Caenorhabditis elegans: one gene and its partner. The protein of the gene in region 1 purifies or fractionates together with the protein of each later gene. This does not show direct contact. Each region holds a gene or a part of one and is shown on either strand. Other genes may lie near its edges. The genes, in order: unc-73 and egl-30.

Region 1 (4,926 bases):
ACTGTCAAGTGTCGATCCCTTTTGTTTTATGATTTCCGCTTGAACGGTCATCGTATACTGTTTGGCTGAAGAGACATGTGGTGGTATAATCCTCTGGGAAATCCAATCTTCACCATGTGTCTCGAGAATATCTCTGATGTTGACTTGTTACTGTAGGATTGAGTGGAATTGATATTATTTTTGATATTAGGGCGATAGCGGTCATTTAGTTCAATTTTTGGTCATTTAGTTCAATTTAGTTCATTTAAAATTTCCTAGGATTTTGTTTTACGGTGTTCCACCGACACTAAAAACTGATTGTTCAGATCAGAGGTGTACGTTAAATTTTTTCGACAATTCTACAAAATGGCCTGATGTGGCATGTTGGTCTGATATTTTTCATTAAAATTTAGTGTCAAAATATAGGATTGATTGATCTGAAAATAATTTTTTAGTTGAAAAAAAATCCTTAAAAGTTGTCTGAAAGGTGAAAATTGCTGGAATAAATCAGACAAATTATTGACACTTTTTTCCAGCAATTGGCAACTTTCATGCAATTTTTAATCATATTTTCACATTTTCAAACTTAAATGAAAATTATTTTCTGATTAATAAATTATTTGTTATATATTTTTGCATTAAATTTTGATCTGTTTTGCCTGTTGAACTAAAATGCTCTAGTTCAGATACAAGTAGTTTCAAAGAATTTGAGAGATTAGATTATAAAGACATCTCAACAACTTCTAGAGCTCACAACAGCATCTATTGAGTTCAATTGAAAAATTCAATTTTGGAGAAGAAAGGATTTAAACAGAATTATCTATATTTGAAGTGTTGCTAACATACTTCTTGTCATCTGTCGCCTGCATCGTTTGCACCTGCCACCATTACCGCCATCTCACGTCGTCGTCTTCTTCATGTCTTCTTTCTTATTTTGCCTGTTGTGTCCCCGGCGGTCTGTCCGGTCCATCAACATCCGTCTGCGCGCGCAGTGACCCTTGCGTTCTCTTTTTACGTCTGCGTCTCTACAGGACACTAGCACTGTCTCATATGACCAGCGGTCTGCTACAACGGCCGTTAGCCTCCCATAACAATTCGCTTGTCTCCCGCTTTCGTACGCTATTCCCGGAGCGGTGCCCACCCCAATGGTTGGGCCCTCTTGAGAGAAATAGTTCGTTTTGGTAGCTCTTCCTTTTCTTCTTCCTTTTCCACGATTTTCGCATTTTCACACCCAACGATTTGTAATGCGTTGTGCAACTAATAATTGAGACTAGATTCATCACATCTTTATTTGCTTATTTTATTTTATGCAGTGAAGACATTTGAATAATGCATACTTCCTGAAAAAGTACGTATTCTAGTGAGAAGATCTAATAACGTTTCGCAATGTTTCGACCTTTTCCATCCTATTTTTAGCTGCTTGAGTATAGAATTTCTTCAAAAATATCAATGAGTCAGTCATTTTAAAACAAACTTTAAAATTTAGTTTTAAAAATTGGCAAGACCATTTTGACCAAAATTTGGCAAGAGATTGTTTAGACTAGGGTCAAATAGAATTAAATTAGCTCAAGCCACATGTTGCCAATTTCCGATTTAAGCCATTTTTTTCCGGATTGTTTGAAATATTTTGTATACCAAACTTGTTCCAAGAAGATGTTAAGCTATATGAAAAGCTTCTAAAATTGTAATGCACTTATTTTTAAATGTTCTGGAAAATTTTGTTTTTTCCATAATAATTAATAATTTTGTCTCGATTTTTTCTTTGATTTTTAAAATCTTATTTAGTGTGATTTTCCATGATTTTCGAGCAATATTTCATCAGAAAATTTAAATCGAAAATCAACTTTTTCTCTCTTTTCAATACGCACTCTATTTTATTTTCTCAAATCTCTTTTTTTGAAAGAAATTTAAAATTCTTTGAAAACTGTCATTTTTTCAGATAAACGGGTTCTCATCTGATCGTCACAATACACACACAGACATTCAGAAGCACATGATTATTTTGAATTCAAGAAGAGTCGTCAAATTCGCATAAAATTCCTCCATCAGTTATGGGCGATTATGATGGAAAAGTGAGTTTTTTCAGTTTCATGGTGGCGGCAGCGGCAACTTGTGAAAAAAGAGGCAGAGATGCCGGCGCCGTAATCCATTGAAGCGATTAATGCGGAAAACGAGTGCAAACTGTACGATTTGATAGAGAAAAGAATACGTTTTTGTTTTTCGAATGTTCCGAGAAATGTCTTTTTCATCAAATTTTTAAATTTCAAATAATTTAATTTTGTTTTGTTAATATTGCCCAGACGCAAAGTTTTGCGATATTTGCAATAAAAATACGGTATTCGGTCTCGATACTACAAATTTTTGATGAGCCTTTAAAGATTACTGTAGTTTAGTTGATTATTGATTTTTTTCTCTATATTTGTTTAAATTTATGTGTTTAACAGTTTTTTTGTTGTAAAATTGTTCCGATGAAAAATTTTTTTATAAATAACAATGAAAATTGATGAAAATTCCGCAAAAACCAAATGCTAGAGATTACAGTATTCTTCAAATAAAATTTTATCGTGTCAAGACCGGGTACCGTATTTTGATACAAAAATCGTTAAATTTCGCCTATGAGTAGTAGAAAAAATTAACACCAAAACAGCAACTAAAAAATTTAATATAACTTTAAAGTTTTGCCAAAATTGAAAAAAAAAATTTCCGAGATCTCTACTCTTTTTCACGACTATAAATCTTGATTAGGTCCAAACTAAAGAAAAATAAATCATAATAATTGATGTATTACGATTACAAACCTTCCCAGACAATTGTTGAAAAGTGTAAAATGAGTTCATCACGTTTTTGAAATATGTTATGAGTCAATTGTTTTGTGTCACTCATTCCGAAATTCGGTGCTCTCCCGGTGCTCCTGCTTCTTCTCACCCATTATTTCCGGATAGATCATGAGATGGAGAGACGCAGATAGCACGATAATAGTGACCGGTTGTGTAAAGTTGTGTGAGAAAAGAAACGAAATAGTGGGAGCTTATCAAGCTCTTCCCTCAATCCTTGAAACAGATGGTACTCTCAAAGAGTGCCTTCTCGATTAGCACCAATCTTACTACTAGTATGTTGTTGTTCGAGACAGGATTATGACCTCGAGAAGCGAGGAAAATGTGAGAGAGAACGAATACCAACAAAAAAATCCGAATAGTGTGTGTGTGTAATGACGGCAGTTTATGGCAATCGGGGAAGACATTGAGAATTGTTGTAGTGCAAAAAATTGGAGGAAAAAGAAAGAAAAAATGAAAGAAAATCTCTTGTGTGCCGGGTTTTCTTTCTTCCTTTTTCGTTTTTTTTCGTGTTGGTTTGCCTTGCAAGTAAACTAGTCAACTTCAAAATACTCTGGTTGAGCTTTTACAAAAAGTTCTCTCAGTCTTTTTTCTTTCAAATACAAATTTTTCTGCCCAATTTTTTCACAAAATAAACAAAAAGAGCCAAACTTTTATAGGTAGTTTTTGAGTACATTGTACTGATTATTTTAATTTAAAATCAATGATTCTAGTTTGTTATCTCTATTTTACAGTTTCATAAAATTTAAAAAAAGTAATGTACAGTGAATGATTTCAAATTTTTCTTTCAGTATTGGCCATACAAAAATGAAAAAATACAAAAAATAAAAAAATTTTATAAAACCTAGATTTCCGTTTGACATTTTCTTTTTTATTCCAAGTTTTAGTGCAAGTTCAGCGAAAATTCGCCCCCTGCGACTTCACCATTTAGAATTCGAAAATTTCAAAATTTGGTGCCCGCTTCTTGCCCAGAAGTTGGCAAAGCTTAGATTGATTTAGACTGCGCCCAAATCCAGCCCAAACTTGATCCAACTTTTGACAAACTCTAACCCAAGTTTAAAACCACACAAGAAAAGTTGGGCGCACCCTAACCAAGTATAAGTTTTGCCCAATTTTTGGTCCAAAATTAGACAAGAAGCTAGCCCTAAAAATCGAGTTAGTGATCGCAGAACTGTTATCTCTGACTCTCTGCTTTTCCTCCAAATCAACAGTCATTTTCCATTGCCGGGGGCCGCGAACAGCGCACTAACCATTCCGTCCGTCCGTCCCAATACACGAAAAAGTCGATTAGCAGATTGAACTTGGTGATAAACTGCAGTGCAATGTGACCAGCCCCTTTTCGTTCCACTCGACTCCCCCCCTATTCCACTCTTCGGTGTTGTGTTGCCTGCGTCTCAACGCTCTCTCCCTCTATCTCACCCGTTTCCTCTGGTGGTGAATTGAATTTCGAATGGTCCTTCTTTTACGACAAACACTGATATTTTTTGGAGCCACTGCGAGCTTTTTTTGGTTTTCTAAGATTTTGGTTTCATGTTCCCGGACATTTTGAACTTTCAAAAATAATCTCAAAAACTCTATGAAAACTTTTGATTTTAAACAATTCGAAAAAATTCCAGATGACGATGAAAGCAGAAGACATTCTGCATGTTCTTCGTGACGGCATTGCAGTACTTCCTGGAGGACGATGTAGAGCCGGACAAGCAGTTATCGTATGTCCATCACGAGAGCAACCTGTCAATCAGGATAATTTACGCAATGTCTTTCTGTATTTATTTGAAGTTACTTCGTAAGTTTTTTATTTGACTGAAATGGAACAACCACACTGTGAAAAAACAAAATTTATAAAAAGATATTTCAAAAAATTTATTTCCATTTTTCAATTCAATTACTTAACAATAAGCCTAGCCTAAGCCCACAAAACACAAATTTCAAAAAAACCAAACAAAAAATTGAATTTGCAGGAAGATGGCACGCGAAAAGGGATTCCTTGTGGTAATTGATATGCGTGGAAAACAAACATGGACCAATGTTCGACACATTCTGAAAGCTCTCAGTGTATGGTTTTTTTTTCGTTTAAAAAATATGGATTCCTACAAAAACAACAAAAAACTAT
Region 2 (7,894 bases), 2.2 Mb from region 1:
AATCCATCAACTTCCACACATATGTTCGTAACGAACAAGGATGAGCTGATTGCGAAGTTCAAGGAACTTGGTCACGTATCAGATGAGCCGTCAGCAAAGCCAGTCATGGTTGGAATGGTTGGCTATCCTAACGTTGGAAAAAGTTCTACGATCAACAAGCTGGCTGGTGGAAAGAAGGTTTCAGTATCAGCAACACCCGGAAAGACGAGACATTTCCAAACCATTCACATCGACAGCCAACTATGCCTTTGTGATTGTCCCGGACTTGTCATGCCTTCTTTCTCTTTTGGACGAAGCGAAATGTTTTTAAACGGTAACTCGTAGTTTTAAAATAATATTTTCCAAATTCGATTCGATTGCAGGTATTCTTCCCGTTGATCAAATGCGTGACCACTTCGGCCCAACGTCGCTTCTACTCTCCCGTGTTCCAGTTCATGTCATCGAGGCGACATACTCGATTATGCTGCCAGAGATGCAAAGTCCTTCTGCAATCAACTTGCTTAACTCGCTCGCGTTCATGAGAGGATTTATGGCGTCGTCGGGAATTCCGGATTGTTCCAGAGCCGCGAGGCTGATGTTCAAGGATGTTGTCAGTGGAAAATTGATTTGGGCAGCCGCACCTCCCGGAGTTGAGCAAGAAGAGTTTGACCGAATCTCCTATCCAGACAAGAAGACTCGTGATATTGGTCGGGTGCAGATGGAAAAGCTTGCCAAGCTTCAGCTTCTCGAGGGTGATGAGTTGAAGGGATCACAATTTGACTCTCAACACTTTGTCGGATCAATCGGAGTTGCTCATGTCAGAGATTCAAAAGCATTGCCTCAAACGTTAGGAACCGTCATTCCAACTGCTCCTACCGAAAACAATGGAAAGAAGCATTACAAGGGAAAGAAGGACAAATTGAGGAGGATTTATAATGAATAAAGTCACTCTTCTTGTTATTACTTTCAAATGTTTTTACTGTTCTACTGGTTTCCACCCAGGCTATATCTCAATTCTTTTGCTCGTCTCTTATCCTTTTAATTTCTTCTATTTTCTTTTTCACTAATACTTTTTTCAGGTAAATATGGGCAAGATTATGAAGCCTGGAAAGGTCGTCCTCGTCCTCAGAGGAAAGTATGCTGGTCGCAAGGCCGTCGTCGTCAAGCAACAAGACGAGGGAGTTTCGGACAGAACCTACCCACACGCCATCATTGCTGGAATCGACAGATACCCATTGAAGGTACAATCATCTGTTGCTTGTTCGGGATTTAATTATTTTTCTTTCAGGTTACCAAGGACATGGGAAAGAAGAAGATCGAGAAGAGAAATAAGCTGAAGCCATTCCTCAAGGTCGTCTCCTACACTCACTTGCTCCCAACTCGTTACTCCGTCGATGTCGCCTTCGATAAGACCAACATCAACAAGGTTTGTTGGATTTCTAATATATTTCACCTATTATTTTTTAATTTTCAGGAGGCACTCAAGGCTCCGTCCAAGAAGAGAAAGGCCCTCGTCGAAGTCAAGTCCAAGTTCGAGGAGCGTTACAAGACCGGAAAGAACAAGTGGTTCTTCACCAAATTGCGATTCTAAACCGCATTTTTTCTTGTTTTGTTCTGAATAAAATGTTGTTACATATTCCAGTGAGATCGGTTTCATTAGAACGCAGAATTATATTCAATACGTGAATCGGGGCACAAAATCTTAGTGTTTGCAAGCCGGCGGCGAGAGACGAGACGAGTAGAGCCCGTGCGTCAAGGCGAAACGAGAGAGCGTGGCGAGAGTGGAGTGCGGCACGGCGACACGCGTATCTTGGTCTCGCAGCGACCAGTGCTACGGTCGAGGGGAGGCCGGCGCGTTGCGTGTTAGGTGCGTGCGTCAGCTAGCGGTCCTTTTCGGTCAAGCGATCAGCTTTATATACACACACACCCGCCACCACCACATTTCCACCAACAGAGAGGCATCCCTGTGCGTTGTTGTGTTGTTGTTTTTTTGTGATGTTTATAACTTGACGCCCTCAATCGTCCCACCGAAATACAAAAATTGCATCGAACTTCTATCCTCGCTCTAGCGTGTTCTTCTTGTTCTATTCGCTGGCTTCATCTGCGGCCTTGGTGGCACCTTTTCGGCCGCCATGGCCTGCTGTTTATCCGAAGAGGCTCGCGAGCAGAAGCGAATAAATCAAGAAATTGAGAAGCAGCTTCAGCGTGACAAAAGAAATGCTCGACGAGAACTCAAACTTCTTTTATTGGGTAAGAACCGGTTCCCTTCAACAAGAAGTCGGTGTAATATTCATTTAACCTGTAGAATCCTGGAATCCTGAAATCCTGGGAGCCAAGCTAAAATTTGAAGAAAAAAAAACCCCCACAGCCTTCCACGTTATTCCGAAACTTTATTTATCTATTGTTTACTTTTTCCATTTACACCCTCTCGAATTGCACCTGCCCCTTGTCGCCCATTCATCATTCTCCTTATCACCATAATTTCCTTATCAGTCCTCCAGTTTTCCCCCTTCAACACCTCGTTATCAATCGCAATTCCGAACGGTTTTCCTTTAAAATGACAGTTCCAGTTCCAGTCTCTGAAAAAACCTGTAAAACCAAATCAATAAACAGTTCCAAGTGTGTGTGTGTGTGTGTGTAGGAGTGCGCGTATGAAACAGTCTATTTCTCTGCGTGTCGTTCCGTTTTTCGTTCCTATTTGGGGGGGGGGCCTCCAACCCCCCTAATATGTCGAAAATGTGGGGCGCGTCGTCGTTGTCGGGGGCATATATCCCCCGCCGGCCCCCGAAACCCCCTTCTTCTTCTTCTTCTTCTTCTTTCCCTTCCCTTCCCTTACACATATATCTATATATGTGTGTGTGAGTGTGTGTACGTATATAGCATTTGCATGGTAAGAGAGAGCGAGACGCGCTGGTGGATTGCCCTCACAGCGCCCCCCCCTCCCCCTTCCCTGTCGCGTCTGTGCTGCGCGTATTGATCGGTGGCAGCAGCAGCAGCAGCAGCGGCAAAAAGAAAGAATGGGGGGAGTGAGAGATGAAGAATACGACGGGGACGACACACACACACATAGGAGTATTGGAAAAGCAGAGAGTGTGCTCCGCGTGAGTTTGAGTGTCTCTGAGCGAGAGAGCGCGAGACGCAGAGAACCAGAGAGAGGGGCTGCTGTGTGCGCGCGCGATGGAAAAGAGGGAAGAGAGAGAGGGAGAGAGTGGGGAAAGCCACAACCTAATCAGCGCAGCCAACCAACCAACCAACCAACCAGCCCAGCCAACCACGGGGAGGGCTAGGAAGAGCCCAGAGAAAGAAGGATGGGGGTGAAGAGCAGCAGCAGAAGCTTGGCCAGTCCTCCACCCAGCCATAGGGACCGATGGACTAGGAGACGCAGGCGTGGGCTCCTCTCTCTCTCTCTCTCGGCCACAGAGCAACTAGATGAATTCACATACAAATGACTAATGGACATGAGTTGTCTGTGTGTATGTGTGTGTTGTATGCAGCAGTGCAAATTGATTTCCAACCCGCCCCAAATTTGTGTGAGGGCTTTAAAGGAGGAGCAGATTGGCAAGAAAAAGGGCAGACATGGGCTGGAATCGGGACTGTGAAAAGGAACTGGAACGGATTTGGAAAAAAAATTTTTGGAAAAAATTGAATTTGCATGATCTGTTTGATGTTAGTTTCTCAACATGAAAAAAAATTAAAAATTAAAAGGAAAGTTTAATTCATAAATAAGGAAAACAGTAATCAAATGTAGATTTTTTAACATTCAGCGTTCTCTGTCAAAATATCGTGCGCCTTTAAAGAGTACCGTAGTTTTTTGATGTTTCATAAGTTTTCACCAGTTTTCTTAAATTTATTGAAAAGGTGGTTAATTTTTTAACTAACATCACGTGGTGTCAGAGAGTTTCATTTCGGTTTGATCTACCTAGATCTACAAAAAACGCGGGAAAAGAGACGCAGAGTTCTCAACTGATTTCGTATGGTTACGACCGTGTTGACGTCACATATTTTTGGGCGAAAAATTCCCGCATTTTTTGTAGATCAAGCTTTAATGAAATAGTATCACCACGTGTAACATCACATTTTGGAAGAAAAATCAATTCAAACTCAGCAAAAAGTTAGTAACTACAGTAATTTTTAAAGGCGAACCCACCGTATTTTCGAAGTTAGCATTCCCAAAACTATTAAAACCACGTTAAATCCCATTAAAAATTATGTTCCAACAAAAAAATCCTAAAAATAAAAATGATGAAAGATCCAGGTAAGCGAGAAAAATTAAAAACCAGGCTCTCAGGTACAGTAATTGAACAATATATATATATCCAACAACCCATTTTCCAAAAAAAAAATTCAATTTTCAGGGACTGGAGAGTCCGGCAAGTCAACGTTCATCAAGCAGATGCGAATTATCCACGGTCAGGGATATTCGGAAGAGGACAAGCGAGCACACATTCGACTTGTCTATCAGAACGTGTTTATGGCCATACAGGTAGGAATTAGGAATCTGAAAACCTGTTTTTAAAATTTTGAATTTTAACTCATATTTTATTACGAAACCGCCAGTAGATGTTTGACGCAACAAATATCTCGTAGCGAAGTCTACAGAAAAGTTGTAAATTACCACCGGAAACTAATACGTAGTGCCAGGGCTGTCCCATTACGGTTTGATCTACAAAAGTGCTCGAATTTTTCGCCCTAAAGAATTTGACGTCAGGGACGTTCTTAATCATGCTAAATCAGTTGAGAACTCTGCCGCATTTTTTGTAGATCAACGTAGATCAAACCGAAATAAGACACTCTGACACCATGGTAGTTTCAAAAAATATTTTAAAAGTTTCTGTACACTTCGCTATGAGATCTTTGGCGGTTACATAATAAAATTGATTTTTTGAGATTAAAATACTCATTTCGATGGAAAAAAGGGGGGTTTTTCCATTTAAAAAAATCGACCGAAGCCTTAAAATTCGAACTATTTTTTCCAGTCTATGATACGAGCGATGGACACATTAGATATAAAGTTTGGTAACGAATCAGAGGAGCTGCAGGAGAAGGCGGCTGTGGTGCGGGAAGTGGATTTCGAGTCGGTGACGTCTTTCGAGGAACCCTACGTGTCGTATATCAAAGAGCTATGGGAGGATTCTGGTATTCAGGAATGTTATGATAGGAGGCGAGAATATCAGCTCACCGATTCAGCCAAATAGTGAGTTTTAGTGGTTTTTTGTTGAAATATTTTACCTCTTTCTAAACCTCGTTTAACATCTTCCAGCTATCTCTCCGATCTCCGACGGCTGGCGGTGCCAGACTATCTGCCAACCGAGCAGGACATTCTGCGTGTTCGTGTGCCAACCACTGGTATCATTGAATATCCATTTGATTTGGAGCAGATCATCTTTCGGTGAGCTTTTTAATTTACTAAAAATTACATTCAAAAAACGGAAAATTGTGTTTTCCAGAATGGTGGACGTCGGAGGTCAGCGATCAGAAAGGCGGAAGTGGATCCACTGTTTCGAAAATGTCACCTCAATCATGTTCCTGGTGGCGCTTTCCGAGTATGATCAGGTGTTGGTCGAGTGTGACAACGAGGTGAGCTCCCTGGAGAAAGTACTAATTACGAAAAAACTATACGGTATTCGTATATATATATAATGAGCTGAAAACAATCTCTGATGCTTTTTTCGTCTCCCAAGAGATACGGAGATACGGAGAGGGAGATAGTGGCTTTAAGCGAAAATATGCAATTTAGTCGCCGACTGTGCACCATAATTAGGGGCCGAAAACAATCTATTCGGCCCGGAAAATGTGCATTTTTCAAGGGGCCGGGGCGGATATTAAGCTATTTCTCATTTGCACTATAGAGTAACAGTGGGATAAGCGTGTGATGAAGAGCCAGTAGAATATTATAGCATTTATTAAGGGCCAAGTGGTTTACGTATGATAACGTAAGATAACAGAATAACGGGGATTTGGGGATGAGCAAAACACAGGTGACAGGTCAAGAAATGATGATTAATGAGCGTCGCACTCGCCTTATATACTGCCCGACGAGAGAGAGTGAGAGACGCAGAGTTGCCAATTCCGCGGGAAGATGTGCAGGCGGGTCTCGACACGACAGGTACCGAAGGCGCCAATTCAAACAGGAGTTTCTCCCAACACGCGAATTGTTCTCGTCGTAGAAATCGTTACCGATTTCGCTCGTTCTTTCTGTAAATTGTCAGCTAGAACTAAAATATGTGAAGTGTAGAGTGATAATCCTTACAATAGTGCAAAAAAAAAACAAACTAGAAATCAATCTTGCAGAACCGAATGGAAGAATCGAAAGCTCTGTTCCGAACGATCATCACGTACCCATGGTTCACCAACTCATCGGTCATTCTATTCCTGAACAAGAAGGATCTGCTCGAGGAGAAGATTCTGTACTCGCATCTCGCTGACTACTTTCCCGAATATGACGGTTTGTAGAGTCTTTTATTGAGAGACTTTATTTGGGCAAATTTCACCCACCTAAATTGTTTTCTTTTCAGGACCCCCACGCGATCCGATCGCCGCCCGCGAGTTTATTCTCAAAATGTTTGTCGACTTGAATCCGGACGCCGACAAGATTATCTACTCTCATTTTACGTGCGCGACTGGTATGTCTTTTCTTTGTTTGCTAGGTGGAAAATATTCGAGCACGGGGTTCTAGCCTTCTTCATTGAATTTTCGCGCTCCATTGACAATCGTGTCTGCCGGATAAAGTCGTGTACTCCACACGGATAAATAAATTCAGTTTTACAACTAGAATTGAGCCGCGACACGCAACGCGCCGTAAATCTACTCCAGATATGGGCGAGCTAAAATGGCCCAAACTCTTCCAGGGAAGCCAGAACTCCGTGTTCGAGAAAAGCACTTATGGTAGCCACGGGTTACCGATTCGGTGTCCCATGGACACTTAGAGTTGCTCATGGCGAATTACTAAAAAATTGTTTAAAAATATCTAAAATTTTCAAATAAAAGGGACCTCTATTTCAGATACGGAAAACATTCGGTTCGTGTTCGCCGCCGTCAAAGACACAATTCTACAGCATAATCTGAAGGAGTACAACTTGGTGTAAGAAGAAAGTCGCATGTCGGATTGGATGATGATGATGATGATCCATCTCTCTCTCTCTCTCTCTCTCACTGGGTCGAGTGAGACACCACCACCTAAACCTAGGAAACATTTTCTTGTACTCCTTCTAATTTTTGTTTTTTTTTTGCAAAAAACTTTCTCTCTCTGTCTGTCTCTCTCTCCATCTCTTCCTTATTTTCTTATTTTCTCATTTTCCTCCCTAAAACAAATGCTCCTCCCGAATATTCTTTCCATATAAGCACTTTTTTCTTCTTTTTTTGGATGTGCTTTCTGATATAGCTAATGCAAAAAGAAACAAAACTTCTCTCTCTCTCTCTCTCTCTCTCTTTCTGTCCTGTCTATACTCATTTATCATCACAAAAAGTCGGTTTTCACATCCTTCCCTACCCATCAACCTAGTTTCCGGCATGCAAAAACACCACCTAGTCTCTCTGTCATTCACAAAAAAAATTTTTTTTTTTGTCTTTTTTTTTCTCACAAAAATCCCCACAACAAACCGCCGCTTCTTTCGTTTTTTTTTGTCTTGATTCAAATTTTTATTTTTTTTACCTTTCTAACAATTCTAACCACAAAAAAAACACATTTTTCGTGTTGGACATAGTTTTTTTTTCCTCCTCAACTTCAATTTCTCCCACCCACATCCACATAATTCAAATATTATAACGTTTTTTTTGAGTTTTCACCATATTTTTTTCGAAAATTATCGAATGCTTTCTCCACTCCCCTCCCCAAACTTCACCCTTACCCTAAAAATCCCGTTTTTCATATTTTTTTCCCATCAAGCTAACCTCGAAATCCTCCCCCCCACCCTAT

The links.
Region 2: the proteins of unc-73 (region 1) and egl-30 purify together in Caenorhabditis elegans (affinity purification with western blotting, with the first as the bait; one study listed by BioGRID). This does not show direct contact.

What each region holds. Positions count from the first base shown.
Region 1 is NC_003279.8:4,028,732-4,033,657, reverse strand, and holds the start of unc-73 (CRAL-TRIO domain-containing protein), read left to right. Parts: upstream 1-1,918; 5' UTR 1,919-2,030; coding exon 2,031-2,051; intron 2,052-4,429; coding exon 4,430-4,599; intron 4,600-4,774; coding exon 4,775-4,868; intron 4,869-4,926.
Region 2 is NC_003279.8:1,833,825-1,841,718, forward strand, and holds the start of egl-30 (Guanine nucleotide-binding protein subunit alpha), read left to right. Parts: upstream 1-1,836; 5' UTR 1,837-1,955; coding exon of another isoform or gene 1,956-2,048; 5' UTR 2,049-2,111; coding exon 2,112-2,229; intron 2,230-2,826; exon of another isoform or gene 2,827-4,334; coding exon 4,335-4,462; intron 4,463-4,955; coding exon 4,956-5,173; intron 5,174-5,239; coding exon 5,240-5,368; intron 5,369-5,426; coding exon 5,427-5,556; intron 5,557-6,270; coding exon 6,271-6,424; intron 6,425-6,494; coding exon 6,495-6,602; intron 6,603-6,854; exon of another isoform or gene 6,855-6,921; intron 6,922-6,981; coding exon 6,982-7,064; 3' UTR 7,065-7,894. Other genes in the region: C53H9.2 (Large subunit GTPase 1 homolog), read left to right, coding at 1-313, 363-922; rpl-27 (Large ribosomal subunit protein eL27), read left to right, coding at 1,065-1,220, 1,268-1,405, 1,454-1,570.